Saccharomyces cerevisiae S288C: one gene and its partners. The gene in region 1 interacts genetically with each later gene. Each region holds a gene or a part of one and is shown in the gene's direction. Other genes may lie near its edges. The genes, in order: FLC2, INM2 and LOT5.

Evidence for each region.
Region 2: mutations in FLC2 (region 1) and INM2 together harm fitness less than expected from each alone (positive genetic interaction), as found in Saccharomyces cerevisiae (one large-scale study listed by BioGRID).
Region 3: mutations in FLC2 (region 1) and LOT5 together harm fitness more than expected from each alone (negative genetic interaction), as found in Saccharomyces cerevisiae (one large-scale study listed by BioGRID).

What each region holds. Positions count from the first base shown.
Region 1 is NC_001133.9:42,605-51,784, forward strand, and holds FLC2 (flavin adenine dinucleotide transporter FLC2), read left to right. Parts: upstream 1-3,294; coding exon 3,295-5,646; downstream 5,647-9,180. Other genes in the region: ubiquitin-protein transferase activating protein PEX22, read left to right, coding at 1-115; ACS1 (acetate--CoA ligase 1), read right to left, coding at 277-2,418; oleate-activated transcription factor OAF1, read left to right, coding at 5,960-9,103. UniProt on the Saccharomyces cerevisiae protein: May be responsible for the transport of FAD into the endoplasmic reticulum lumen, where it is required for oxidative protein folding.
Region 2 is NC_001136.10:1,032,933-1,043,351, forward strand, and holds INM2 (inositol monophosphate 1-phosphatase INM2), read left to right. Parts: upstream 1-3,062; coding exon 3,063-3,941; downstream 3,942-10,419. Other genes in the region: ZIP1 (Zip1p), read left to right, coding at 1-2,131; MGP12 (Mgp12p), read right to left, coding at 2,299-2,643; Smc5-Smc6 complex subunit NSE3, read left to right, coding at 4,263-5,174; RTT103 (Rtt103p), read right to left, coding at 5,348-6,577; HRQ1 (ATP-dependent 3'-5' DNA helicase), read left to right, coding at 6,796-10,029; SRP101 (signal recognition particle receptor subunit alpha), read right to left, coding at 10,214-10,419. UniProt on the Saccharomyces cerevisiae protein: Responsible for the provision of inositol required for synthesis of phosphatidylinositol and polyphosphoinositides and involved in the inositol cycle of calcium signaling.
Region 3 is NC_001143.9:94,189-104,382, forward strand, and holds LOT5 (Lot5p), read left to right. Parts: upstream 1-4,532; coding exon 4,533-5,453; downstream 5,454-10,194. Other genes in the region: DNA-binding transcription repressor ASH1, read left to right, coding at 311-2,077; ornithine decarboxylase SPE1, read left to right, coding at 2,569-3,969; YKL183C-A (uncharacterized protein), read right to left, coding at 4,207-4,419; tetrafunctional fatty acid synthase subunit FAS1, read left to right, coding at 6,483-10,194.

The sequences.
Region 1 (9,180 bases):
CACAAGTAGTGGTGGTAGCGATGCAGCAGTCGTTCCTGAAGATATAGGCAGGTTTGTCAAATTTGTTGTTGATAGCGATGTAGAGGATGTGCTGATTGACACTTTATGCAATTAATGTAGAAAAGAGTTTCTTGTAACAGTATGTAAAGAATAAATAATTATAAGTATAAATAAAAAGAGAAGGTGAAATAATAATAAGTAAGCAGCTCGGTTATAAGAGAACAAAAACACACGAAAAAAAAAAAGTCGTCAATATAAAAAGGAAAGAAATCATCATTACAACTTGACCGAATCAATTAGATGTCTAACAATGCCAGGGTTTGACAATGTAGAAACGTCGCCTAGTTGGTCACTTTCTCCTGCTAGGATTTTTCTTAAAATACGTCTCATAATTTTGCCGGATCTTGTCTTGGGCAAGTCATCCACTAAAATGATCAATTTTGGTGCGGCAAATGGCCCGATGTCTTTTCTAACAGTAAAGACCAAATGCTTCTTGATATCTTGTAATTCATCATCTGTTGCGGTGGACCAACTAGATTTGTTTTTCAACACCACAAATGCAGCAACTGCTTGACCAGTCAAGTCATCGTTGAATCCGACAACAGCACACTCGGCCACAATTGGATCTTCGATAATAGCAGCCTCAATTTCAGCGGTAGACAGACGGTGACCAGAGACGTTCACCACATCGTCTACACGACCCAAAATCCAGATATAACCATCCTTATCCTTTGCAGCACCATCACCAGTGAAATAGTAGCCAGGGTAAGGGTTCAAATAAGTGTCTAGATACCTATCATGATTTTTCCAAATAGTTCTTGCAAATGATGGCCATGCAGCTTTGACGGCAAGGACACCCTCTGCGTGGCTGGTGTTAAGTTCTTCACCAGTGTTAGGGTCAAGAACAACTGCATCAATACCGAAGAAGGGGAATGAGGCAGAACCCGGTTTCATTGGTGTAACACCACCAGCCAGCGGGGTGACCAGATGCGAACCAGATTCTGTTTGCCAGTAGGTGTCTACAATGGGGATTTCATTTTTACCTATTTTTTCAGAGTACCACTCCCAAACTTCAGCAGCAATTGGCTCACCGACCGAACCCAAGCAACGCAAAGATTTTAAGGAATGATTTTCGATGTAGGAATCACCAGCTCTTTTCAACAAACGCAAAGCAGTTGGCGCAACATAAAATTGGGTGACTTTGTGTTCATCAATAATATCCCAATAACGGGAGTAATTTGGGTACGCAGGAGTCCCTTCAAAGACCAAAGTGGCACAACCATATAGTAAGGGACCATAAACCACATAAGTGTGGCCTGTAATCCAGCCAATGTCTCCAGCTGTGAAGAAAACGTCTTCTTGGTGAGTGTCAAAAGTGTAGCGCATGGTCAACAAAGCTCCCAGCAAGTAACCTGCGGTAGAATGTTGAACACCCTTGGGGGCACCAGTAGAACCAGACGTATACAACAAGAATAATGGATCCTCAGAATCAACGGGTGTGCATGGATAGTAGGTCTTGTATTTCTTCTTTTCTGTTGCCCAATCCAAATCTCTGGGGGCATGGAAAGCAACAGATGGATTGTTGGTCTTTCTATAAACCAAGACGTGTCTCACGCCTGGGGTCTCTCTTAGCGCGTCATCAACAATTCTTTTAGTCTCAATGACTTTACCACCTCTGTTGGATTCATCTGTAGTGATGACAACTTTAGAGTCCCCATCGTTGATACGATCTCTCAAGGAGTTGGAAGAAAACCCGGCAAAGACTACGGAGTGAATGGCACCGATACGGGAAATGGCCAACAAGGTTATGATTGCTTCTGGGACCATAGGCATGTACACGGCAACAGTATCGCCCTTGCGAACGCCCATAGAGTAAGTCAGCACTTGTGCCACTTGACAAACTTCTTCAAGTAGTTCCTTGTAGGTAATGGAATAGCCTTGGCCAGGCTCGTCACCTTCGAAAATAATGGCTTTCTTGTTAGGAGTCTTCAAGGCATGTCTGTCAACACAGTTGTAACAGGCGTTTAATTGGCCGTTGAGGAACCATGCATTGTTCTGGAAGGAGGGCCTGCCCGTTTTAGGGTCTGGGATGAACACCTTATCGAATGGCTTAGACCAGTTTAAAAATTGGGTAGCTTTAGAACCGAAGAACTTAGCAGGGTCTTCAATAGACTCCTTGTGCAAGCGCTGATAGTCCTGCAACCCGTCCAAGTGTGGAGAATAGTGGGTAGCAATTGCGGGCTGCAGTCTATCTGAGATGGGCCGTTGTGGCACGATCTTGACCGAAGTCAAATGTTCATACTCATGTTCCTTCTTCTGCTGCGCAGTGGCGGCAGACTGGGACATTTTTGCTTTCAACTTGTCAATTTCACTTGACTGTTCTTCTAGTTTTGATGATTGTACGGCAGAGGGCGACATAGCACAGTGGGCAATGTCTTTCTAGTAGTTTTGATATGTTTGGTTTTGCTTATAGATAGAAAATATAAGAACAAGATATAACGTACTACCAGATAACCTAAGGGAGAAATATGCTTAGAATAGCCGCCCAGTTTATATACAAAATGAAGGGAGAACTATTTGCCACCGAGGAACTGTACCCCAACTGCAATACCCATTGAATAATGGCATCGGAGGCTCGGCGGCAATTCGTACCCCAACCTTTTTTTTTTACTTTTCTTTGGATCTTAGAGATAACAGAAAAAAAGGATGACCCCAATCATTTGCCACGGCATGTCAACAGGTGAGTGCCTTTTGAGGGGGGGGGGTCATCTCGACATCCGGCGAAATGGAGCAGTCACACGTGAACATTTTTAGGGGATGGAGAGTGCTACGCCGTTCGTCCGAGATGATTATCATATTTACACAGCCGTACATACACGTGCCATTTATCTTGATATCATTCTGGACGTATGTGCACATGTGATTTGCTTTTGTTTTTTTAAGAATGTCGGGTAATAAACAGATTGTTTTTCTGGGAGGATAATCTTTTCTTTTTTCCTGTTGGTATTCTAAAATTAACCTTGCTGTTTCTTTTTTTTTTTTTTTTCGCGCGACTACTCAGCCATCTTGCATTTTTAAAGAAAAAGATAATCATTAATGCCTTCACGGGAATACGTATAGAACATTATTAAAAGTATATGAATGGCATATATATATAGAACACCACCCTTGGAAAACATTTATACCCCTTAAACTAAAACAATTTGCTGCGCTATACCGTGTTTCAGTGTATTATAATACATTCATTTCTGTTTCATTACGATTATATTGACGTGATAAAAAGATTATATAGCCATGATCTTCCTAAACACCTTCGCAAGGTGCCTTTTAACGTGTTTCGTACTGTGCAGCGGTACAGCACGTTCCTCTGACACAAACGACACTACTCCGGCGTCTGCAAAGCATTTGCAGACCACTTCTTTATTGACGTGTATGGACAATTCGCAATTAACGGCATCATTCTTTGATGTGAAATTTTACCCCGATAATAATACTGTTATCTTTGATATTGACGCTACGACGACGCTTAATGGGAACGTCACTGTGAAGGCTGAGCTGCTTACTTACGGACTGAAAGTCCTGGATAAGACTTTTGATTTATGTTCCTTGGGCCAAGTATCGCTTTGCCCCCTAAGTGCTGGGCGTATTGATGTCATGTCCACACAGGTGATCGAATCATCCATTACCAAGCAATTTCCCGGCATTGCTTACACCATTCCAGATTTGGACGCACAAGTACGTGTGGTGGCATACGCTCAGAATGACACGGAATTCGAAACTCCGCTGGCTTGTGTCCAGGCTATCTTGAGTAACGGGAAGACAGTGCAAACAAAGTATGCGGCCTGGCCCATTGCCGCTATCTCAGGTGTCGGTGTACTTACCTCAGGGTTTGTGTCTGTGATCGGTTACTCAGCCACTGCTGCTCACATTGCGTCCAACTCCATCTCATTGTTCATATACTTCCAAAATCTAGCTATCACTGCAATGATGGGTGTCTCAAGGGTTCCACCCATTGCTGCCGCGTGGACGCAGAATTTCCAATGGTCCATGGGTATCATCAATACAAACTTCATGCAAAAGATTTTTGATTGGTACGTACAGGCCACTAATGGTGTCTCAAATGTTGTGGTAGCTAACAAGGACGTCTTGTCCATTAGTGTGCAAAAACGTGCTATCTCTATGGCATCGTCTAGTGATTACAATTTTGACACCATTTTAGACGATTCGAATCTGTACACCACTTCTGAGAAGGATCCAAGCAATTACTCAGCCAAGATTCTCGTGTTAAGAGGTATAGAAAGAGTTGCTTATTTGGCTAATATTGAGCTATCTAATTTCTTTTTGACCGGTATTGTGTTTTTTCTATTCTTCCTATTTGTAGTTGTCGTCTCTTTGATTTTCTTTAAGGCGCTATTGGAAGTTCTTACAAGAGCAAGAATATTGAAAGAGACTTCCAATTTCTTCCAATATAGGAAGAACTGGGGGAGTATTATCAAAGGCACCCTTTTCAGATTATCTATCATCGCCTTCCCTCAAGTTTCTCTTCTGGCGATTTGGGAATTTACTCAGGTCAACTCTCCAGCGATTGTTGTTGATGCGGTAGTAATATTACTGATCATCACGGGACTTCTGGTTTATGGAACTATAAGGGTTTTCATCAAGGGAAGAGAGTCTCTCAGATTATACAAGAATCCTGCGTACCTACTTTACAGTGATACCTACTTCTTGAACAAGTTTGGGTTCTTATACGTTCAATTCAAAGCAGATAAGTTTTGGTGGCTTTTACCCTTATTAAGTTATGCGTTCTTAAGATCCCTGTTTGTTGCCGTTTTACAAAACCAAGGTAAGGCTCAAGCAATGATCATCTTTGTCATTGAACTAGCTTACTTCGTTTGTCTCTGTTGGATAAGACCATATTTGGACAAGAGAACTAATGTTTTCAATATTGCTATTCATTTGGTGAATTTGATCAATGCATTTTTCTTTTTGTTTTTCAGTAATTTGTTCAAGCAACCAGCAGTGGTTTCGTCAGTGATGGCGGTTATTCTGTTCGTTTTGAACGCGGTGTTTGCTCTATTCCTATTATTGTTCACTATTGTCACCTGTACACTGGCATTACTACACAGAAACCCAGATGTCCGTTACCAACCAATGAAAGATGACCGTGTGTCATTCATTCCTAAGATTCAAAATGATTTCGATGGCAAAAACAAAAATGATTCTGAACTGTTTGAATTGAGAAAAGCTGTTATGGACACCAATGAAAATGAGGAAGAAAAAATGTTCCGTGACGACACTTTCGGCAAGAACCTGAATGCAAACACAAATACAGCAAGACTCTTTGATGATGAGACTAGTTCATCCTCTTTTAAGCAAAATTCCTCTCCCTTCGATGCCTCGGAAGTAACGGAGCAACCTGTGCAACCAACCTCCGCTGTCATGGGTACGGGTGGCAGCTTCTTGTCTCCACAGTACCAACGTGCGTCATCTGCTTCTCGTACTAATCTAGCGCCGAATAATACAAGCACCTCCAGTTTAATGAAGCCTGAATCAAGTCTCTACCTGGGGAATTCCAATAAATCATATTCGCATTTTAACAACAACGGCAGCAACGAAAACGCCCGCAACAACAACCCATATTTGTAATCCAATATATACTCACATGTAACAACTTATTATATAAATATTTAAGGGCAAGGATATCCTACATTATATTTCATAGAAAACCGCTCAAAAAGGTGTATTATCTCCATTACATCCCAACACCACACATATTTCAGCGATAAAAACCTTAAATGTGAAATTCGCTTTGGCTCTGCTTCCTTAAATGTACGCAATTGCCGCTTTTTTCTGACATCTTTTTTGACGTGTAGAGAAGGAAACAGATCCTCCAGAAGGGATTTACTGTTGGCTATTTTGTGTTAGAAGCAGGTTAATAATAGATTAGGTTGCGTAAGTCATGGTCGAAAATAGTACGCAGAAGGCCCCACATGCCGGAAATGATGATAATAGCTCTACCAAGCCATATTCGGAGGCGTTTTTCTTAGGGTTCAATAACCCAACGCCTGGATTAGAAGCTGAGCACTCAAGCACATCGCCTGCCCCCGAGAACTCCGAAACACATAATAGGAAAAGAAATAGAATATTGTTTGTCTGCCAGGCTTGTAGGAAGTCAAAAACAAAGTGTGATAGAGAAAAACCTGAATGTGGTCGATGCGTCAAGCATGGGTTAAAATGTGTTTATGACGTATCAAAACAGCCAGCACCACGAATTCCGAGTAAAGACGCCATTATATCAAGGTTGGAAAAAGATATGTTTTATTGGAAAGATAAAGCTATGAAGCTACTAACAGAGAGAGAGGTGAATGAATCAGGCAAGAGATCAGCAAGTCCGATCAATACAAACAATGCTAGCGGGGACAGTCCTGATACCAAGAAGCAGCATAAAATGGAACCTATATATGAACAAAGTGGTAACGGGGATATAAACAATGGTACCAGAAATGATATTGAAATCAACTTGTATAGAAGTCATCCAACCATGATCATGAGTAAAGTCATGAAAAGAGAAGTTAAGCCGTTATCTGAAAATTATATTATAATTCAGGACTGTTTTCTAAAAATCCTGGTCACTTCAGTGTTCCTTGACACTTCAAAGAACACGATGATACCGGCATTGACGGCAAACGCGAATATTACAAGAGCCCAGCCTAGCGTAGCAAATAACCTTTTGAAATTGAAGGAAATGCTAATCAGACAGTGTCAAACCGAAGATGAAAAAAATCGTGTAAACGAATTCACTGATAGAATACTACAAAATACAAATTCAAATAGAAACTTGAAAATCGGTATGCTATTATCAATGCTTTACAATTCTGTCGGTTACCAATATCTGGAGGATCATTGCCCTCAAGGTGGCGAATATTCGGATTTATTGAGAAATTTGATCAATGAATGTGAAGCTATTTTGCCATCTTACGAAATTATTGAACGCTACAAGAACCACTTTTATGAGTACGTTTATCCAAGTCTACCTTTCATCGAATTAGAAATTTTTGAAGAATCATTAAGTCAAACAATTTTTCCGGACCCAAACAACCCCTCCAAGGTGCAAATACGTATGGGTAGCACACATTTGAGAGCTAAGGTGGAAAACTTGAGTCTTCTATTGGTTATCTTGAAACTCTCATACATGTCAATAAGGTTTTTAGATCATAGTACAGCAGACTCGAGTTTTTATCTTTCAAAGGAAATAATTGATAAATACCCAATACCGAACGATTTTATTTTATTGAGTCAAAGATGTCTAGCATCGGAAAATTGGTGTGCATGCGCTAATGAAAACATCATATCATGTTTACTATATATCTGGTCTTTTTTTGCTTTTTCTCCTGAAGAGGGTGATTTCTTTCTCGAGCACCCCACCGATGTTATCAGTAGTTTGATAATGATGCTTTCCACCTCGATTGGTCTCCACAGAGATCCTTCAGATTTCCCTCAATTGATTTCCCCGTCCACCTCAGATAAAAGAACCTTGAATCACAGAAGAATACTCTGGTTGAGTATCGTTACCGTTTGTTCGTTTGAAGCAAGTCTCAAAGGTAGACATTCTGTCTCACCGATATCTTTAATGGCCTTATTCCTAAATATTAAGGATCCTGATTCTCTGACGGTATATATGAACCGAGTTAGGGGCGATCTAAGCGATATCAATAATCACAAACTTTTGAGAATTCATAAATTTACATTCAAGAGAGCCCAGCTTGCGTTACTCCTGTCGGACTTAGATAACTTGACGATGACATACTATGGTAGTTTCCATTTGCATTCAATTGAATTCATAAGAGAAAAGATTGAGATTTTTGTGGAGGAAAACTTTCCCATAGTACCATTAAAAAGTGTCGCACAGGATAAGTCAGACCTTGATGACATGAATGTGATTTCAGAAATGAATATATTATCTTCAGAAAATTCTTCTTCATTTCACAATCGAATAATGAATAAACTATTGATGTTGAGAACTTCAATGGCCGTATTCTTGCATTTTGAAACACTTATCACTAAGGATAAAAGTATCTTCCCATTCTACAAGAAATACTTTATGGTTAGCTGTATGGATGCGTTGTCACTAATAAATTATTTCAATAAGTTTTTCAACGGAGAATATCGACACGCAATATCTTCTTTAACCAGTTTTAATGTTACAAAATTTATTCAGTTAGCACTATCCAGCACAATCTTCAGCCTATTAGGGATTATACTAAGAATAGGTTTAGCCATCCATATGTTATCTTCTGAAGTACAAAAGTTATCGGGAACGACAGATCCAAGAATAAAGGAGTTAAATACCAAAGTCGAAAAATTTAGTACCCTGCAAAGAGATCTCGAGTCTGCTTTAGAAGGTATATATTGCTCTGCTTCGGAACATTTAAGATTCACATACTTCCCCGTTTTTAAGATGTTGGCTTTATTCGATGTCATTGTACAAAGGATGAGAAAGGGTGAATTATGGCACGGCATATTTACGATGATTCAAATGGAACAAATGCATTCTAGGATAATCAAGACATTAAGCATTACCTTAGGAGTCAAACTGGACAAAAAGGATAGGCTATTAGAGGAATTGATGGCATGCAATCACGTTGCGAATTTTAGCGTTGAAGATATAGATGAGCTGAACCGTAATATCAAAAAAGAGATTCAAATTTCTTCAGGATTGAAGCCGCCTGTAAACACAATTGACTTAACCAACGGCGAACCATTCGGAAATGCTGTTCCTACCTTCACAAAGACATGGAGTTCATCCTTAGATAATTTAGAAAAACTATCATCGGCCGCTGCAGTTGGTCAGAGCTTGGACTACAACAGTGGTTTACGTCAGGGTCCTTTGGCGGGTGGTGGTTCAAAAGAGCAAACGCCAATAGCCGGGATGAATAACTTGAACAATTCAATCAATGCTACACCAATTGTCGATAACTCATCTGGATCACAACTTCCTAATGGTTTCGATAGAGGCCAAGCGAATAATACTCCTTTTCCAGGTTATTTTGGAGGTTTGGATTTATTTGATTATGACTTTTTGTTTGGCAATGACTTTGCTTAAAAATTTTCTTTCCAAACTCCTACCTATTCATTTCATCAATTAATTAATATTATATAGCCACGAATTTATGAAACTGA
Region 2 (10,419 bases), on another chromosome or scaffold:
CACGTCCATCAATAATTCTAGTACATCTTCAAATGATGTCCTGTTAGAAGCCTTCACAAACACTCAAAGAATATGTTCAAATTTAAAGCAAGAGCTACAAAAGCAGCAACAGGATAATGCAAAGTTGAAAGTTCGACTACAGTCGTATGCTTCCAATTCTGATAAGATCAATGAAAAAGTCGGAAAATATAAATCTTGTTTAGAAACTCTTCAAGAAAGGATTGCAACGTTGACGAGCCATAAGAATAATCAAGAAACTAAATTGAAAGATTTAAGACAAAACCACCAACTATATCAGAGAAGGATAAGCGGATTTAAGACAAGTATTGAAAACTTGAACAAAACAATAAATGATTTAGGGAAGAACAAAAAGGAGGCGGATGCAGAATTAATGAAAAAAGGTAAAGAGATTGAATACCTGAAAAGAGAACTAGATGATTGTTCAGGTCAGTTGAGCGAAGAAAAAATCAAAAACAGTTCCTTAATACAGGAAATGGGAAAAAATAGAGAAGAAATGATTAAATCAATTGAGAATTTCTTTTCAGAAGATAAAGCACACCATTTACTGCAATTTAACAAATTCGAAGAAAGAGTTCATGATTTGTTTGAAAAAAAATTACAAAAGCACTTCGATGTGGCAAAAGATACCCTTAACGTAGGCTTGAGGAACACCACTGTAGAGTTGAGTAGTAATACAGAGACCATGCTAAAGCAGCAATATGAAGATATCAAAGAAAATCTTGAACAAAAAATGTCATCCAGTAAGGATGAAATGGCAAAAACAATAAATGAGCTGAGTGTAACGCAAAAAGGACTTATAATGGGAGTACAAGAAGAACTATTAACGTCATCAGGGAATATTCAAACTGCTTTGGTAAGTGAAATGAATAACACAAGGCAAGAGCTTCTTGATGATGCGTCTCAAACAGCCAAAAATTACGCGAGTTTGGAAAACTTGGTGAAGGCATATAAGGCAGAAATAGTTCAGTCGAATGAGTATGAAGAAAGGATAAAACATTTGGAGAGTGAAAGGTCAACTTTGTCTTCACAAAAAAATCAGATTATTAGCTCTCTTGGTACTAAAGAAGCACAATATGAAGATTTGGTCAAAAAGTTGGAGGCGAAGAATATCGAAATTTCACAAATTTCTGGCAAAGAACAAAGTTTAACTGAAAAAAATGAAAACCTTTCTAATGAACTGAAAAAAGTCCAGGATCAACTAGAAAAACTCAACAATTTGAACATCACAACAAAATCAAATTACGAAAATAAAATATCTTCTCAGAATGAAATTGTGAAGGCTTTAGTTTCCGAAAACGACACTCTGAAGCAAAGAATTCAACAGCTAGTAGAAATCAAAGAAAATGAACAGAAGGATCATACAACCAAACTGGAGGCTTTCCAAAAGAACAATGAGCAGCTACAAAAGCTAAACGTCGAAGTAGTACAACTGAAGGCTCATGAATTGGAGCTTGAAGAGCAGAATAGGCACTTAAAAAATTGTTTAGAAAAAAAGGAAACTGGTGTTGAAGAATCACTAAGCGATGTAAAAACCCTAAAACAGCAAGTGATAGTTCTGAAATCGGAGAAGCAAGATATAACAGCTGAAAAGTTAGAACTTCAAGATAACCTCGAAAGTTTGGAAGAAGTCACCAAAAATTTACAGCAAAAGGTGCAATCGCAAAAGAGGGAATTAGAACAGAAGATTAAAGAGCTAGAAGAGATAAAAAACCATAAACGGAACGAGCCTAGTAAAAAAGGTACACAAAATTTTACTAAACCATCAGATTCACCCAAAAAAAATGCTACGACGTCCAACTTATTTCCTAATAACTCTGCTGCCATTCACTCTCCTATGAAAAAGTGTCCTAAGGTGGATCATATAAGTAAGTCAAGAATTAATTCATCCAAAGAAACATCCAAATTTAACGATGAGTTCGATCTTTCTTCATCATCAAATGACGACCTAGAGTTAACCAACCCTTCCCCAATCCAAATTAAACCAGTGAGAGGAAAAATCAAGAAGGGTTCAAATTGCATGAAACCTCCAATTTCTTCAAGAAAAAAATTACTACTAGTAGAAGACGAAGACCAGTCATTAAAAATAAGCAAGAAAAGGAGAAGGAAATAGAGGATAATGGAAAATTTGAAATCGTTTTGTGCGAATACATTTCATTTTGTTCCCTGCGTAAGAAGTATGCATAGTAAAATTAGCGTAGATATAGTTTTTTGAGGTATATACTTATTCATAGCTTATAAATATTTACAGTGTTGTAACTCTAGTAAAAACAAAAGAGGTCATCTAGATTGCATTCTCCTTATTTTATCACTGATATCGTCTTCTTCAAGAAAGTGCAGGATCTTGGTGCACGACTTAGGATCACCAACTTTCTCAATATGAAGTACTGGTATGTCGAAGCAATATTCCTTCCACCATTTTGCGTTTCTTCGGTCAGTTATGTTGACTATCTCTAGTGAAACTGCTTTATTATGAAATTCCTTTCTTTCAAATACATCATCTATCACTTCCTTTGCTTGATCGCATAACCCACAATTAGGCTTTGAGAAGAAAGTTAATTTCACTCCAGCATCATGTAACAATACCCTCGAAGTATGTATAGAACAGCGGAACGCTCTCAACATGGTGATATGTTCCTTAAGTTTTATGTCTTACTGAATAATTACGAATTTCTGTTATGAATTAAACGAAACTTTACAATGCATCAACTCCGAACTCTCTACGGAAAGGTAACAACTTGCGCACATCATAGACCCATAAAGCGAAAAAAAGGGAAGTCAATCACAGTTATATTGACATTCCAAAGCCAGTAACTAAAAAACTACAAAAATGGATTCTCACAGTCATATTAAGTGACCTCTTATTATTTCCCTTAAAACGGTAATTCTTAATAAAGAACGTCAGTGTTCCGAGTGATAACGCCGTGAAGCACCCTGCTTCATTACATATGAAATCGTGGGGAGAAAAAATCGTGAAAACAATATAGAGAATAAGTGAAGTTGAAGCTCCACAAGCCCTTGTAAAGTAAACTTAGATTGAAGCGATGGTATTAACGAGGCAAGTACTAGAGGAAGTGGAGAACACATTTATTGAATTACTTAGGAGTAAAATAGGACCTCTCGTAAAATCGCACGCAGGAACAAACTTTTGTTCATATGATGATAAAGCAAATGGCGTAGATTTGGTAACTGCTTTAGACAAACAAATTGAATCTATAATCAAGGAAAATTTAACGGCCAAGTATCCCAGTTTCAAATTTATCGGAGAAGAAACTTATGTAAAAGGTGTCACGAAAATAACTAACGGCCCTACATTTATTGTTGATCCCATCGATGGTACTACTAATTTTATTCACGGTTACCCCTATAGTTGTACATCTCTAGGTTTAGCTGAAATGGGGAAGCCGGTTGTTGGTGTGGTTTTCAATCCTCACTTAAACCAACTATTCCATGCTTCCAAAGGCAATGGAGCTTTCTTAAATGATCAGGAGATAAAGGTTTCAAAAAGGCCATTGATTTTGCAAAAATCCTTAATTGCTTTAGAAGGAGGTTCGGAAAGAACTGAAGGTTCCCAAGGAAACTTTGATAAGAAAATGAATACTTATAAAAACTTACTAAGTGAGTCCGGCGCCTTTGTTCACGGGTTCAGAAGTGCAGGAAGTGCTGCCATGAACATATGCTACGTAGCGAGCGGCATGCTTGATGCTTATTGGGAAGGTGGCTGCTGGGCTTGGGATGTTTGTGCCGGTTGGTGTATTCTTGAGGAAGCAGGAGGAATAATGGTTGGCGGAAATTGTGGAGAATGGAACATTCCATTAGACAGAAGATGTTACTTGGCTATTAGAGGTGGATGTGAGTCGATGGAGCAGAAGCGATTTGCAGAATCGTTTTGGCCTCACGTTGCGGGTGAGTTAGAATACTAAATGCCCCCCTCAGGTGTCGTTAAATAAGCTACATCTAAGAAAAGTTTATATAGTACTTCACGCAATTCCTACTAGTATTTTTTTCCAGTACAGGACGATATCTTGAAGCAGCAACTTGATTTCACAGGTCACTTAGTGTGGGCTTCTGACTCAAGAATAGCAAGTATTACATGCATGCGGCCCTCTCCTTTAACAGCGCGATATACGTGAAGAAAAATTTCAATGAAGAGTAATGCGCTTATTATCAACTTCGATTGAAGGGGTCCTATATCAGTATGCTACAAGGGAAGGTTGTTCGATAAACATAAGCTTCTCATTAGCATGAGTTCTATAGATAATGACAGCGATGTGGATTTAACAGAAGATTTAGCCGTGGCCAAGATCGTTAAAGAGAATCCTGTAGCTAGAAAAATGGTTAGGTATATTTTATCGAGAGGAGAATCTCAAAATTCGATCATAACAAGAAACAAGTTACAATCTGTTATACATGAAGCTGCTCGCGAGGAAAACATAGCAAAACCGTCTTTTAGTAAAATGTTTATGGACATAAATGCTATACTGTATAACGTATATGGGTTTGAATTACAAGGATTGCCGTCAAAAAATAATATGAACGCTGGCGGTAATGGAAGCAATAGCAATACAAATAAATCAATGCCTGAGCCACTGGGACATAGAGCCCAGAAATTTATCTTGCTAAACAATGTCCCGCACTCAAAAAATTTTGACGATTTCAAGATTTTACAAAGCGCTCACACTTATGAAGAGCTAATAGTTACCGGAGAGTATATTGGTGACGATATAGCTTCAGGAACTTCCAATACCTTAGAAAGCAAGTTGAGTACAGATCGAGATCTTGTTTACAAGGGTGTTTTGAGCGTCATTTTATGCATTGTTTTCTTCTCTAAGAATAACATATTACATCAGGAATTGATCAAATTTCTAGAGACATTTGGCATTCCAAGCGATGGTTCAAAGATTGCTATACTGAACATTACTATTGAAGATTTGATAAAAAGTTTAGAAAAGCGCGAATATATAGTCAGATTGGAGGAGAAATCCGATACCGACGGGGAAGTGATATCATACAGGATAGGTAGAAGAACTCAGGCTGAGCTTGGACTAGAGTCTCTTGAAAAATTGGTGCAAGAAATCATGGGCCTTGAAAAGGAGCAGACTAAAAGTTTGCACGATGATATAATAAAAAGCATTGGCGATTCATATTCTATATAGCATTGCATAGGTGTCCATGTAGTTTAGGTGCGCATCTTTTTTGTCGAGGAAATAGTGAAGATGAATACGAAATAAACTATGGGCAAATAGTTACGAAAAAAGACTGGACTTAAACGGGTTACTATATATTTGTATAAGTTATCTCCTTGTTTTCTTTTTACTCAACCATCATATTAATTTGCAAGCTTACTTAACAAGTCTTGTATACTAGAAGAAACCCCTCCGGAATTCTCAACACCTTCGTCGGTTTGGGCGCCGACGTGGCCTTCTATATCTAACTCATAATGTCCATCCTCACTGTTGAAAGTACCATCTTCACTCGTCTTCGAATCAAGATGAACCTTTTTTTCCGGTATGTCATTAGCGTCATCATGACCTATCATATCATGTGTTCGTTTCATACCAAATTGATTGTCACTAGGATTATGAGTAGAGTTTTTATGTTCGCTATCTGTCTTTTCTACAACTTCATTCTTCTTATCTGTGGTGCTAATATTAGTAACGCCATAATTGCTGTCATTGGATCTATCATCGTAATTTTTGTCATCATCATCATCATCATCATCATCATCATTATCACCATCATCGTCATCGTCATCTCCATCCCCCACTTCATACGTAGGAATAATATTGTCTTCATCAACGTTTTTATTTAATCTGGATGGGTCTTTAGCAGATAAAACGAATTCTATTTCACTTAACATATTCTGTTCCTCATCTAGATGCCTTTTTTCATCGTCCAGTGTGCTTTGCAGTTTATGGATACCGCTTTCTCTTTTTAGAATTGATTCATTTATTATATCTTTAGCCATGTTCCCAATCTTACTTATTGTTTTAAAATTTTCCTCGTAAACTGAGCTGGATGGATCCAATTCATCTGATGATTTGTCAAATCTCATTTTCATCGCGCAAACATTATGGTGCATTTTCACTAATTTTTCATAGTCCTTAGCAAAATCTTTCAATTTCTGGGGTAACACCAACGCTTCCACTGGTGAGCTCTCGGTTTTAAGACTTCTTTCTATGTCATTGACTACCTGCTTGGAAAATATATTTCTTTCTTTTAGTATATTCACAACTCTTGACAACTTCTTTTTTAGGTCCCTCGGAAACTCTTGATTAATTCTTCCCAATACTTCTGCTGCCACCTTTCCAAAGGAATCTTGAAATTGAATAATTTTTTGACCTTTAGCCTGTTGAACAACATGATTCATTAAGTAAAGACCCAATAACTTCCTTCTTGTGTTTACACTAGGCCTTAACATGTATTCTTTCCACATTTCTGCCACTTTGGGAGCATCTCTATACTGTAGAAGCAACCACTTTGAGGCACTGGAAATAGATTCTTGGGAATCTTCCAACGTATTTAATTTGGTTGTGAATTGCTCAGAAGAGAAAGGCATACCGTCTATTTTAATCTTGGATTATTGCTTTCTTCAAATTTTCTACCTCTTCGTTAAAACCTTCTTCGCTTGTACTTATATTATTATGTTGGCTTTTCAAGTTTATATATTTTTAAAGGAAAAAAATAACTTTTTCATTTTTCGTTATAAAACAGAACCGTTATACATATTGAGATGGTTAAGGTCGTAGAAAAGAAATGTTCATTTGAGAAGGAAAAATGGAGGAAGGACCTATCAAAAAGAAACTGAAGTCAGCAGGTCAAGGGAGTGGAAAGACCGATGCCTTTAGAAATTTTGAACAATTTTTTTTCCGCCTTAATACTCTTTACACCTTTTTGATTTGCAGAAAGCATGTTGTGCCTACATTTAAAACACTTTGTGGACCTATAGAAACTGCTTTGAAAAGAACTGTGACGAAAGAAGACCTAGCCATGGTTATGGCGCTAATGCCAAGAGAATGTGTTTTCAAGTATATTGATGAGAACCAAATTTATACTGAAACTAAGATTTTTGACTTCAATAATGGCGGCTTTCAGCAGAAGGAAAATGACATATTTGAACTGAAGGACGTTGATGACCAAAATCAGACTCAAAAATCTACTCAGTTACTTATATTTGAATTTATAGACGGTACAATGCAACGCTCATGGTCTGCAAGTGATAGATTTTCTCAAATAAAGATACCAACATATACTACGGAGGAAATGAAAAAGATGATTTCTAAAAGGGAAGCTCTCTTTAAATCCAGACTACGGGAATTTATCCTGGAAAAGGAAAAGGCTAACCTTGACCCATTTTCTGAGTTAACAAATCTAGCGCAGAAATATATTCCAAGGGAGAGAGATTATGAGGATCCTATTGAGGCAATGATGAAGGCGAAGCAAGAAAGTAATGAGATGAGCATTCCCAATTATTCCAATAATTCAGTGATAACAACAATTCCTCAAATGATTGAGAAATTAAAAAGTACTGAATTCTACGCTTCTCAGATAAAGCATTGTTTTACAATACCATCAAGAACAGCGAAGTATAAAGGTCTCTGTTTTGAGCTTGCACCGGAAGTATATCAGGGTATGGAACACGAAAATTTCTACAGCCATCAAGCAGATGCGATAAACAGTCTTCATCAAGGCGAAAACGTCATTATTACAACATCGACCTCTTCAGGTAAATCCCTTATTTACCAACTAGCAGCTATCGATCTTCTTTTAAAGGATCCTGAATCAACGTTTATGTATATATTTCCAACAAAGGCCCTGGCACAAGATCAAAAAAGAGCATTCAAGGTAATACTTTCAAAGATCCCCGAGCTAAAGAATGCCGTGGTTGATACGTATGACGGCGATACGGAGCCAGAGGAAAGAGCTTATATTCGTAAAAATGCTAGAGTTATTTTTACCAATCCTGACATGATACATACCAGCATTTTACCTAATCATGCAAATTGGAGACATTTTTTGTACCATCTAAAGTTAGTGGTGGTCGATGAATTGCATATATATAAGGGTTTATTTGGATCGCACGTGGCATTAGTGATGAGACGTTTACTAAGACTGTGCCACTGTTTTTACGAAAATAGTGGTTTACAATTTATTTCATGTTCTGCAACTTTAAAGTCTCCAGTACAACATATGAAGGACATGTTTGGAATTAATGAGGTTACGCTAATACACGAGGATGGCTCACCTACAGGTGCTAAGCATCTAGTGGTGTGGAATCCTCCAATTTTACCTCAACACGAACGTAAACGAGAAAATTTCATTAGAGAGAGTGCAAAGATATTGGTACAATTGATATTGAACAACGTAAGAACCATAGCATTTTGCTACGTTCGTCGTGTTTGTGAATTGTTGATGAAAGAAGTTCGCAATATTTTTATTGAAACTGGGCGTGAGGATCTGGTTACAGAAGTCATGTCTTACAGGGGTGGTTATTCTGCTTCCGACAGACGTAAAATAGAACGTGAGATGTTTCACGGAAATTTAAAGGCTGTCATATCTACCAATGCTCTAGAACTTGGTATTGATATCGGTGGACTAGACGCAGTCTTGATGTGCGGTTTCCCACTATCAATGGCGAATTTTCATCAACAAAGTGGTAGAGCTGGAAGAAGAAATAATGATTCTTTAACCCTCGTGGTTGCAAGTGACTCGCCTGTTGATCAACATTATGTTGCTCATCCAGAATCCTTGCTGGAGGTTAATAATTTCGAATCTTATCAAGATTTGGTTCTTGATTTCAATAACATTTTGATACTGGAAGGACACATACAATGCGCTGCTTTCGAACTGCCAATAAATTTTGAACGTGACAAGCAATACTTTACTGAATCTCATCTTCGCAAAATCTGTGTTGAACGCTTACATCACAATCAAGATGGGTACCACGCCAGTAATAGATTTTTACCATGGCCGTCCAAGTGTGTATCTTTGAGAGGCGGAGAAGAAGATCAATTTGCCGTAGTGGATATAACAAATGGAAGAAATATAATAATTGAGGAAATAGAAGCATCCAGGACTAGTTTTACTTTATATGATGGCGGTATATTCATTCACCAAGGCTATCCCTACCTTGTGAAGGAGTTTAATCCTGATGAAAGATATGCTAAAGTGCAAAGAGTAGATGTTGACTGGGTAACCAACCAAAGAGACTTTACAGATGTAGATCCACAGGAAATTGAACTTATACGCTCTTTAAGGAATAGTGATGTTCCTGTTTACTTTGGTAAGATCAAGACTACAATTATTGTATTTGGCTTTTTTAAAGTAGACAAGTACAAGAGGATCATCGATGCCATCGAAACCCATAACCCTCCTGTAATAATCAATTCTAAAGGATTATGGATAGATATGCCAAAATATGCCTTAGAAATTTGCCAAAAGAAGCAATTAAATGTAGCAGGAGCTATTCACGGGGCGCAACATGCAATTATGGGTATGTTACCGCGATTTATAGTGGCGGGTGTGGATGAAATACAAACTGAATGCAAAGCTCCGGAAAAGGAATTTGCAGAACGTCAAACTAAACGAAAGCGACCAGCTAGATTAATATTCTATGATTCCAAGGGCGGTAAGTACGGGTCTGGCTTGTGTGTTAAAGCGTTTGAGCATATTGATGATATTATAGAGTCTAGTTTAAGAAGAATAGAAGAATGCCCATGCAGCGATGGATGTCCTGACTGTGTAGCGGCTTCTTTTTGTAAGGAAAACAGCCTGGTCCTGTCGAAACCTGGCGCCCAAGTCGTTTTGCATTGTATTCTAGGTCACTCGGAAGATAGTTTTATAGATCTTATCAAAGATGGTCCAGAGCCAAATATGCCAGAGATAAAAGTAGAGACTGTTATTCCTGTGTCAGAGCATGTCAACTTTTCAGATGATTTTAAGATTATTGACGTTAGAAGAGCTACGAAAGACGATACTCATACAAATGAAATCATTAAAAAAGAGATATGAGCACGCTATTTGTAGTTTGTAAACCGAATATAAATACTCTATTCTACTACTTGTAGATTCACTTGGTGGAAAGAAGTTACATCAACATTCTGTCACCTTGTTGATGCACAGAAAAAAAGACACTTTATTATTGTTGAATAACATTGTCTGTGGTATATATATATATACTATGATATTACAGTTTTTAAGACATTAATGTATTAACAGCCCATTTTACGCTTAATGTCCTCAAATCGGTATAGGTTTGTCCCACGCCAACGAATAAGATAGGAATCCCCGTAGCATAAACCATATTTACCATAGTACCCAGCATTTCACCAACTGTGTCACACTTGGAGATAATAAAGAAGTCAAGATTTCTTCCCTTTCCGAAGGCATCATTAAAATTTT
Region 3 (10,194 bases), on another chromosome or scaffold:
AAATAATATTTCAGTTATTAAGGAAAATAAAAAAATAGATTAGAGAAGCATTTTGAAGAAATAGTATATTCTTTTATTGAACCTAAGAGCGTGATATTTTTACTCGAAATAAAATACGAAAAATCTATACACTCATCTTTCCGACTACTATTGGCTCCTGCTCAAAAAAAGAGGGAAAAAAAGCTCCAAAATTCTATCTTTTCCTATCGCTCCTGTCCTATCCTTATTACGTTCATTACTATTTTAATACTATCCATTCTTTTATTTTCAGTCTAAAAAAAACATTTCTCATAACGGGAAAAGCAAAAAAATGTCAAGCTTATACATCAAAACACCACTGCATGCATTATCTGCTGGTCCGGATTCTCATGCAAATAGCTCCTATTATGACAATCTTTTATTGCCTTCATTTTCCAATTTATCCAGTAATATCAGCAGGAACAATATCACAACCGATAACAATATAAATTCAGCAAGTCCTAGGAAGTATTCGTTTCATTCGCTCAATGTGTCGCCAATTCTTTCCCCAATATCTTTGGCTAACGAAATACTTGGAAAAAAATCAAATACTGCACCAGCATCGCCACATCATATGGATTACAATCCAATTTCCTCATTAACACCAGGCAATTCACCAGAATTCAACAAGGCAAGCTTATCTCAGATTAGTTTTACAAATCCATTGAACTATGGGTCTGGCTTAGGTTTTTCCTCTAATTCACAACCTCGACTACCATTGTTAGACAGGCTATCGTCCGTCTCTTTATCTAAGAGACCGGAGCGCCCACAACAAAGCCTACCATCACTAAGGCATCTGCAATTATTACCCAGTCCTCTTTTACAAGAAAACGCAGCACGCTTCCCTGATACATCAAAACGTACATCTAATTGGAAAACTGATCTTACCCATTGGTGTAAGGATACAAACTATCAAGACTATGTTAAAATACGCGAAGAAGTGGCTCATTTCAAGCCATTAAGTATACCCAACTTAACTAATAATCAAAATAATGATAGTTTCAATTACGGCAAGGAATTGGAATCGACTAGGTCGTCCAAGTTCCATTCCCCGTCTAAGGAATCATTTGATCGTACCAAACTAATTCCTTCGATTCTAGAAGCTAAAGATCAATTTAAAGATCTTTCCAACAATGCATGGAGTATTACTCCTCCCGTCACACCGCCGATGAGTCCACCAACCAATAGAACCATGGAGCGCACGACGCTTAGAGGAGTAGAGGCCTCTTTTTTTGAGGGGAAATCCAGCAATAACGATTCAATATTCAATCCAATTATTAGTGAAAAATTGGTTCAAGAAGTTAAACATCAAAGACAATTACGTGGAAATTCATTTCCCATGCCAAATGCCAGTCACAAAAAGACGAACAGTTTCAAAGCTTTGCAAATAAAAAAATTGCTTGCGAATAGAGACATTCTATCGAACAATTCCAAATCTAATGTAAGGAAACCATCTAAGAACAAAATCTCAAAGCAAGCATCAAATGTTTTCGGTAACACTGCAAGACAATTGGTGATGAAACTCGACAACGCTAGTTACAGTTCTGTCTCTGCATCTTCATCTCCATCTCCCTCCACACCGACGAAAAGTGGCAAGATGAGATCAAGATCATCCTCACCTGTGCGTCCCAAGGCATACACTCCAAGCCCAAGGTCACCCAATTATCATAGATTTGCTCTCGACTCTCCCCCTCAAAGCCCTCGAAGATCATCAAATTCAAGCATAACGAAAAAGGGAAGTAGAAGGTCCAGTGGCTCATCACCCACTCGTCACACCACAAGAGTGTGCGTGTCGTGTCATTCGAGTGATTCGCCCTGTTGGAGGCCATCGTGGTCGCCAAGAAAGCAAGATCAGCTATGTAACTCTTGTGGTCTTCGATATAAAAAAACACATACAAGATGTTTGAACGATTTATGTCGTAAGATCCCCACAAAGGGTGAAATAAACATTATGAAATCCAATGGAATAGACAAAGAATTCGTCCCCGAACGCAACTGCGAAATTGAAGGGTACCGTTGCTTATTTTGTAATTACATAACTGAGACAGTAGAGAATTGATACATGGATAACTGAATCTCTTTCAACTAATAAGAGACATTATCACGAAACAATTGTACATTTCTCTCCTTGTCTGTGCTAAATAAACTACAAATAAAAATTCATTTTCTTTCATTTTCATTCGACACGCCGCGGCATCTTCGTTTTCTTCACCGATTAATTTTAATCTGCGCCGTGCAGATATTTTCGCCCATTTCGAAGTGAAATCATTCTAATAACTTCTCCTGCGCAATAGATTGGTCATCCTGATTTTTATTCTGAAATCGAAAATGAAAAGCATTTATTGCACTGAAATAGCGGAACCTGCTTCTAATAAGCTTAAAATTCAATCATAATAGTGTAGTTAATAGAAAGGACAGAAGAACTTTTCGTTCCTTGGTTTATCATCCAGGTTTCAGCACGGCTTTTGTTTCAAGTTTAAGTAGGTAAGATTTTTTGATTGTTCTACAACTTTTTCATAGTAATCAAAACCTTTGAATTTCAAACTTACTATGTCTAGTACTCAAGTAGGAAATGCTCTATCTAGTTCCACTACTACTTTAGTGGACTTGTCTAATTCTACGGTTACCCAAAAGAAGCAATATTATAAAGATGGCGAGACGCTGCACAATCTTTTGCTTGAACTAAAGAATAACCAAGATTTGGAACTTTTACCGCATGAACAAGCGCATCCTAAAATATTTCAAGCGCTCAAGGCTCGTATTGGTAGAATTAATAATGAAACGTGCGACCCCGGTGAGGAGAACTCGTTTTTCATATGCGATTTGGGAGAAGTCAAGAGATTATTCAACAACTGGGTGAAGGAGCTTCCTAGAATTAAGCCATTTTATGCCGTCAAATGTAATCCTGATACCAAGGTTTTGTCATTATTAGCAGAGTTGGGCGTTAATTTCGATTGCGCTTCCAAAGTGGAAATTGACAGAGTATTATCGATGAACATCTCGCCGGATAGAATTGTTTACGCTAATCCTTGTAAAGTAGCATCTTTCATTAGATATGCAGCTTCAAAAAATGTAATGAAGTCTACTTTTGACAATGTAGAAGAATTGCATAAAATCAAAAAGTTTCATCCTGAGTCTCAGTTGTTATTAAGAATCGCTACCGATGACTCTACCGCTCAATGTCGACTTTCCACCAAATATGGCTGTGAAATGGAAAACGTAGACGTTTTATTAAAGGCTATAAAGGAACTAGGTTTAAACCTGGCTGGTGTTTCTTTCCACGTCGGTTCAGGCGCTTCTGATTTTACAAGCTTATACAAAGCCGTTAGAGATGCAAGAACGGTATTTGACAAAGCTGCTAACGAATACGGGTTGCCCCCTTTGAAGATTTTGGATGTAGGTGGTGGATTTCAATTTGAATCCTTCAAAGAATCAACTGCTGTTTTGCGTCTAGCGCTAGAGGAATTTTTCCCTGTAGGTTGTGGTGTTGATATAATTGCAGAGCCTGGCAGATACTTTGTAGCTACAGCGTTCACTTTGGCATCTCATGTGATTGCGAAGAGAAAACTGTCTGAGAATGAAGCAATGATTTACACTAACGATGGTGTATACGGGAACATGAATTGTATTTTATTCGATCATCAAGAGCCCCATCCAAGAACCCTTTATCATAATTTGGAATTTCATTACGACGATTTTGAATCCACTACTGCGGTCCTCGACTCTATCAACAAAACAAGATCTGAGTATCCATATAAAGTTTCCATCTGGGGACCCACATGTGATGGTTTGGATTGTATTGCCAAAGAGTATTACATGAAGCATGATGTTATAGTCGGTGATTGGTTTTATTTTCCTGCCCTGGGTGCCTACACATCATCGGCGGCTACTCAATTCAACGGCTTTGAGCAGACTGCGGATATAGTATACATAGACTCTGAACTCGATTGAAGGATATATTTAACCACGACTTTCGCAAGAGAGACGGAGGGGGTGGGAAAAGGCTGAATGCAACCATTGTCACTAAGAATTTGAGTGTTCATGAACGAGTTATACACGCTATTTAAGAGTCAGAGAATGATGATTCAAGAAAATTCTGGCATTTTTCCTGTCCACCACTGTACGCCATTGTACACAAAAGTATTTTTTTATATTTTTTTTACAATTTTTTATAATTTTTTTTTATGTTTAGTGTATATTTGCTAGAAAGAAACAAGATCTTTTTTGGTAGTGTAAATGCTTAAACTTTGTCTCTTTTTCCTTTTTACTTTGGAAAAATGCCGACGCAAGAACATAGACATCTGCGAAAACCAAAAATAAAGTACCAATTGTACATACAAAAACAGAGAAAAAGTTCATGAACAGAACGTTACTACGGTATAGCAAGATCTTTGAATACATCCATTACTTCGGATTGTTCACCATACTTCAACACAGGCCAAGATAGACCATAGCTACAGTGATAGACGAATATTTATTTCAAAAGAAGCATCAACCATAAAATAAAAAGAAAAATGATGAAAAAAAAACCAAAGTGCCAAATTGCAAGGACCAAACCATCGGTCGAAAACGTCATACCATATAACCAATTCAAGAAGACGCAGCCGCGATTCAACGGCAACTTTTCTGCACTGAATAATGAAGAATACATAATACTCTTTGGCGGAGGTCGGGACCTGATACTAGGCTCCCTGACACCTTGTTCGAGCTCTCATTTGTCCAATCAAGCCAACCCACAAGACACCAGTGAGTATGGCACAGACCTGTTTATACTCAACAGCTGCATTATCATTTGGTTCAATGGCTTGGGATATGGGCTGGAAATTCCCTACAGCAGCGTTTTGTACCATGCATCAAGACGGCTACCAGATGGTAGGGAAGGGCTTCAATTAGAAATTTTGCTGACTTTGGAAAGAGACGAAGTGTTGGACATGCTCTACCAAAGCCTCGCGCCACAGGCCTGCGAATTCGACGGCGAAGAAGCACATGCCTTCACCGTGCGCAGCGTGGAATTGACTATCAGGCCCAAATATTCAATATACGATCGCCATTATAACAACGAAATCGAAACCCTTTTCACCTTCGAAAACTTCGGCGTGAACAGGGGCGATGACCTGGTAAACAATTGTAACGAAGCACTAGCCGTATGCATGGACCTGCACGGTGAGGACGTACAAGATCAAGACCAGGAACAATACCAAGATCCAAGCATGGCGTTTGAGGGTGCGCAAGATCTCAACGCCACGTATTCTGGGCTTGGAGACACCCTTCACGGGCCGCCCGTGTATCAGAACGACGGGCTGGCAGACGATCTGGATGGCGACCTCGTTATGGACAACGTGGTCTCTAGGGGTGGTCCAGAAGCAAGTATGTCTATGGAGTTCTACGCAAATCAAAATCTTGCTGGCAGAAAGAACTCCAGAGACAATGAATGAACAACATCTATTATGGGAACATCCCGCTGTACTATGCGGTCTCGTCCTCTACGAATATGGCTATTTGCCTTCGTATATACCTTTCTATACCAAGTAATGAATGTCTTGAGGGCCCGTATGGCCGCGCGAAGGCTTAGTTAAGATGTTTCAGCAAACGGCAGCATGTGAAAAAACCCGTAGAAGGTCCGCATCAGCCTTCCATGCCCGTGCACCCACGGCTCCTCGGAGGCCGGGTTATAGCAGCGTCTGCTCCGCATCACGATACACGAGGTGCAGGCACGGTTCACTACTCCCCTGGCCTCCAACAAACGACGGCCAAAAACTTCACATGCCGCCCAGCCAAGCATAATTACGCAACAGCGATCTTTCCGTCGCACAAGTTAAAAGAAATTGTTGAAAAATACAAATAATCGCGAACAATACGTTGTTGCTATTTAACGCTTTTGGTCTGACAGTAAGTGTGCCTTTCCCAATCACCGAAAAGTGTTGAACGATTCACTGCGACAATAATCAGAGATTACAGTCGGCATTTTGGCATTTTTGGCATACTTTTTATCGATTGAACCATCTTCTCCAAACACTTTTCCTTTTTCCTTCTATTCTGCAGGACCAACTAAAACTGGGTATATATATCATTATCTATATATATAAACGGCTTTCAACAAAGTTATAGGGGAAAACTAAAAATATAAGAAAAAAAAAGGTATTGATTGATAAGGAAAAAGAACCAAGGGAAAAATATAAAAAAGTACATTGGGCCTTTTCATACTTGTTATCACTTACATTACAAAGAAGAACAAACAACTTTTTTAAACGAATTTTCTTTCTTCCTTTTTCAATTTATTAATTCTTTTTTTCCATACAATTCAAGGTCAAATATATTCTTATATGCTCTTTGAATATTTCTGAAAAATATATAAAGAAAAGAAACTACAAGAACATCATCCGGAAAATCAGATTATAGACTAGGATTCCGCTCTTTTTAGTATATTTATTCGCCACACCTAACTGCTCTATTATTCGCTCATTATGGACGCTTACTCCACAAGACCATTAACCCTATCTCACGGTTCTTTAGAGCACGTGCTTCTGGTACCAACCGCTTCATTTTTCATTGCTTCGCAATTACAAGAACAATTTAATAAAATTTTGCCCGAACCCACTGAAGGGTTTGCTGCAGATGACGAGCCTACCACACCTGCTGAACTAGTGGGGAAATTCCTTGGCTACGTATCTTCTCTAGTCGAACCTTCCAAGGTCGGTCAATTCGATCAGGTCTTGAACCTTTGCTTAACAGAATTTGAAAACTGTTATTTAGAAGGCAATGACATTCACGCCTTGGCTGCTAAACTATTACAGGAAAACGACACAACTTTAGTGAAGACTAAAGAACTAATTAAAAATTATATTACCGCCAGAATAATGGCTAAGAGACCATTTGACAAAAAATCCAACTCTGCTCTTTTTAGGGCCGTCGGCGAGGGTAACGCACAATTGGTAGCCATTTTCGGTGGTCAAGGTAACACCGACGACTACTTTGAAGAATTGCGTGATCTATATCAAACTTATCATGTCTTAGTGGGAGATTTAATCAAGTTCTCCGCTGAAACTTTAAGTGAACTGATTAGAACTACTTTAGATGCTGAAAAAGTCTTTACTCAAGGTTTAAACATATTGGAATGGTTGGAGAACCCTTCAAATACCCCAGACAAGGACTATTTACTTTCCATTCCAATTTCATGCCCCTTAATTGGTGTCATTCAATTGGCTCACTACGTAGTTACTGCCAAGCTTTTGGGTTTCACTCCAGGTGAGTTAAGATCTTACTTAAAAGGTGCTACAGGTCACTCTCAAGGTTTGGTTACTGCTGTCGCCATAGCTGAGACGGATTCCTGGGAATCCTTCTTCGTCTCCGTAAGAAAAGCAATTACTGTATTATTCTTCATCGGTGTTCGTTGTTACGAAGCATACCCAAACACTTCCCTACCACCATCCATCTTGGAAGATTCCTTGGAAAACAATGAAGGTGTTCCATCTCCAATGTTGTCCATTTCCAATCTAACTCAAGAACAAGTTCAAGACTATGTAAATAAGACTAACTCTCATTTGCCAGCTGGTAAACAAGTTGAAATTTCTCTAGTCAATGGTGCGAAGAATCTAGTCGTATCGGGCCCACCACAATCATTATATGGTTTAAACTTGACTTTAAGAAAGGCCAAGGCCCCATCTGGACTGGATCAATCAAGAATCCCATTCAGCGAAAGAAAATTGAAGTTCTCCAATAGGTTCTTACCTGTTGCATCACCATTCCATTCCCATCTATTGGTTCCAGCTTCAGATTTGATTAACAAAGACTTAGTCAAAAACAATGTCAGCTTTAACGCTAAAGATATTCAAATCCCCGTTTACGACACTTTTGATGGTTCAGATCTAAGAGTCCTTTCAGGTTCCATTTCCGAGAGAATCGTCGACTGCATCATTAGATTACCTGTCAAATGGGAAACTACTACACAATTCAAAGCCACCCACATATTAGACTTTGGTCCAGGTGGAGCTTCCGGTTTAGGTGTTTTAACCCATCGTAATAAAGATGGTACTGGTGTTCGTGTTATCGTTGCCGGTACTCTCGACATTAACCCAGATGATGATTACGGATTCAAGCAAGAAATCTTTGATGTTACTAGTAATGGTTTGAAGAAAAATCCAAACTGGTTGGAAGAATACCATCCAAAATTAATTAAGAACAAATCAGGCAAAATTTTTGTCGAAACAAAATTTTCTAAATTAATCGGTAGACCACCTTTATTGGTTCCTGGTATGACACCATGTACTGTTTCTCCAGATTTCGTAGCTGCTACCACAAATGCTGGTTATACCATTGAGTTGGCCGGTGGTGGTTACTTTTCCGCAGCAGGTATGACCGCCGCTATTGATTCTGTGGTTTCTCAGATAGAAAAGGGTAGTACCTTCGGTATCAACTTGATCTACGTCAATCCATTTATGTTACAATGGGGTATTCCATTAATCAAGGAACTAAGAAGCAAAGGTTATCCAATTCAATTCTTGACCATTGGTGCTGGTGTCCCATCATTGGAAGTTGCTAGTGAATACATAGAGACATTAGGTTTGAAGTACTTGGGTTTGAAACCAGGTTCCATTGATGCTATTTCGCAAGTTATAAACATTGCTAAAGCACATCCAAACTTCCCAATAGCTTTACAATGGACCGGTGGTAGAGGTGGTGGTCATCATTCTTTCGAAGATGCCCACACTCCAATGTTACAAATGTACTCCAAGATTAGAAGACATCCAAACATTATGTTGATATTCGGTTCTGGTTTCGGTTCTGCTGATGACACTTACCCATACTTAACCGGTGAATGGTCCACAAAATTCGATTATCCACCAATGCCATTCGATGGTTTCCTATTTGGTTCGAGGGTCATGATTGCTAAGGAAGTTAAAACTTCTCCTGATGCTAAGAAGTGTATTGCTGCTTGTACTGGTGTTCCTGATGATAAATGGGAACAAACCTACAAGAAGCCAACTGGTGGTATTGTCACTGTTCGCTCTGAAATGGGTGAACCAATTCACAAAATTGCCACTCGTGGTGTTATGCTATGGAAGGAATTCGACGAAACCATCTTCAACTTACCAAAGAATAAGTTGGTACCAACTTTGGAAGCAAAGAGAGATTACATTATCTCAAGATTGAACGCCGATTTCCAAAAACCATGGTTTGCTACCGTCAACGGTCAAGCCCGTGACCTAGCCACAATGACATACGAAGAAGTTGCAAAGAGATTGGTGGAATTAATGTTCATCAGATCTACCAACTCTTGGTTTGATGTCACATGGAGAACCTTTACTGGTGATTTCCTACGTCGTGTCGAAGAACGTTTCACTAAAAGTAAGACATTGTCTTTAATCCAATCCTATTCTCTACTAGACAAGCCTGATGAAGCTATTGAAAAAGTATTTAATGCTTATCCTGCCGCTAGGGAACAGTTCTTGAATGCGCAAGATATTGATCACTTTTTGAGCATGTGTCAAAATCCAATGCAAAAACCAGTGCCTTTTGTTCCAGTTTTGGATCGTAGATTCGAGATTTTTTTCAAAAAAGATTCGTTATGGCAATCTGAGCACTTGGAAGCCGTCGTCGACCAAGACGTTCAAAGAACATGTATCCTACATGGACCTGTTGCAGCACAATTCACTAAAGTCATCGATGAACCAATTAAGAGCATTATGGATGGTATTCACGATGGTCACATCAAAAAGTTACTACATCAATATTACGGTGACGATGAGTCAAAGATTCCAGCAGTTGAGTACTTTGGTGGTGAAAGCCCTGTAGACGTACAAAGTCAAGTTGATTCTTCCTCTGTATCTGAAGACTCAGCTGTTTTTAAGGCAACATCCTCTACTGATGAAGAAAGCTGGTTTAAGGCTTTGGCGGGATCCGAAATTAACTGGAGACATGCAAGTTTCTTATGTTCCTTTATCACTCAAGATAAAATGTTTGTTTCTAACCCAATTAGAAAAGTTTTCAAGCCAAGCCAAGGAATGGTTGTTGAGATTTCCAACGGCAATACTTCTTCAAAGACTGTTGTCACTCTTTCAGAACCTGTTCAAGGTGAATTGAAACCAACTGTTATTTTGAAGTTGTTGAAGGAGAACATAATCCAAATGGAAATGATTGAGAACAGAACTATGGATGGTAAGCCCGTCAGCTTGCCAT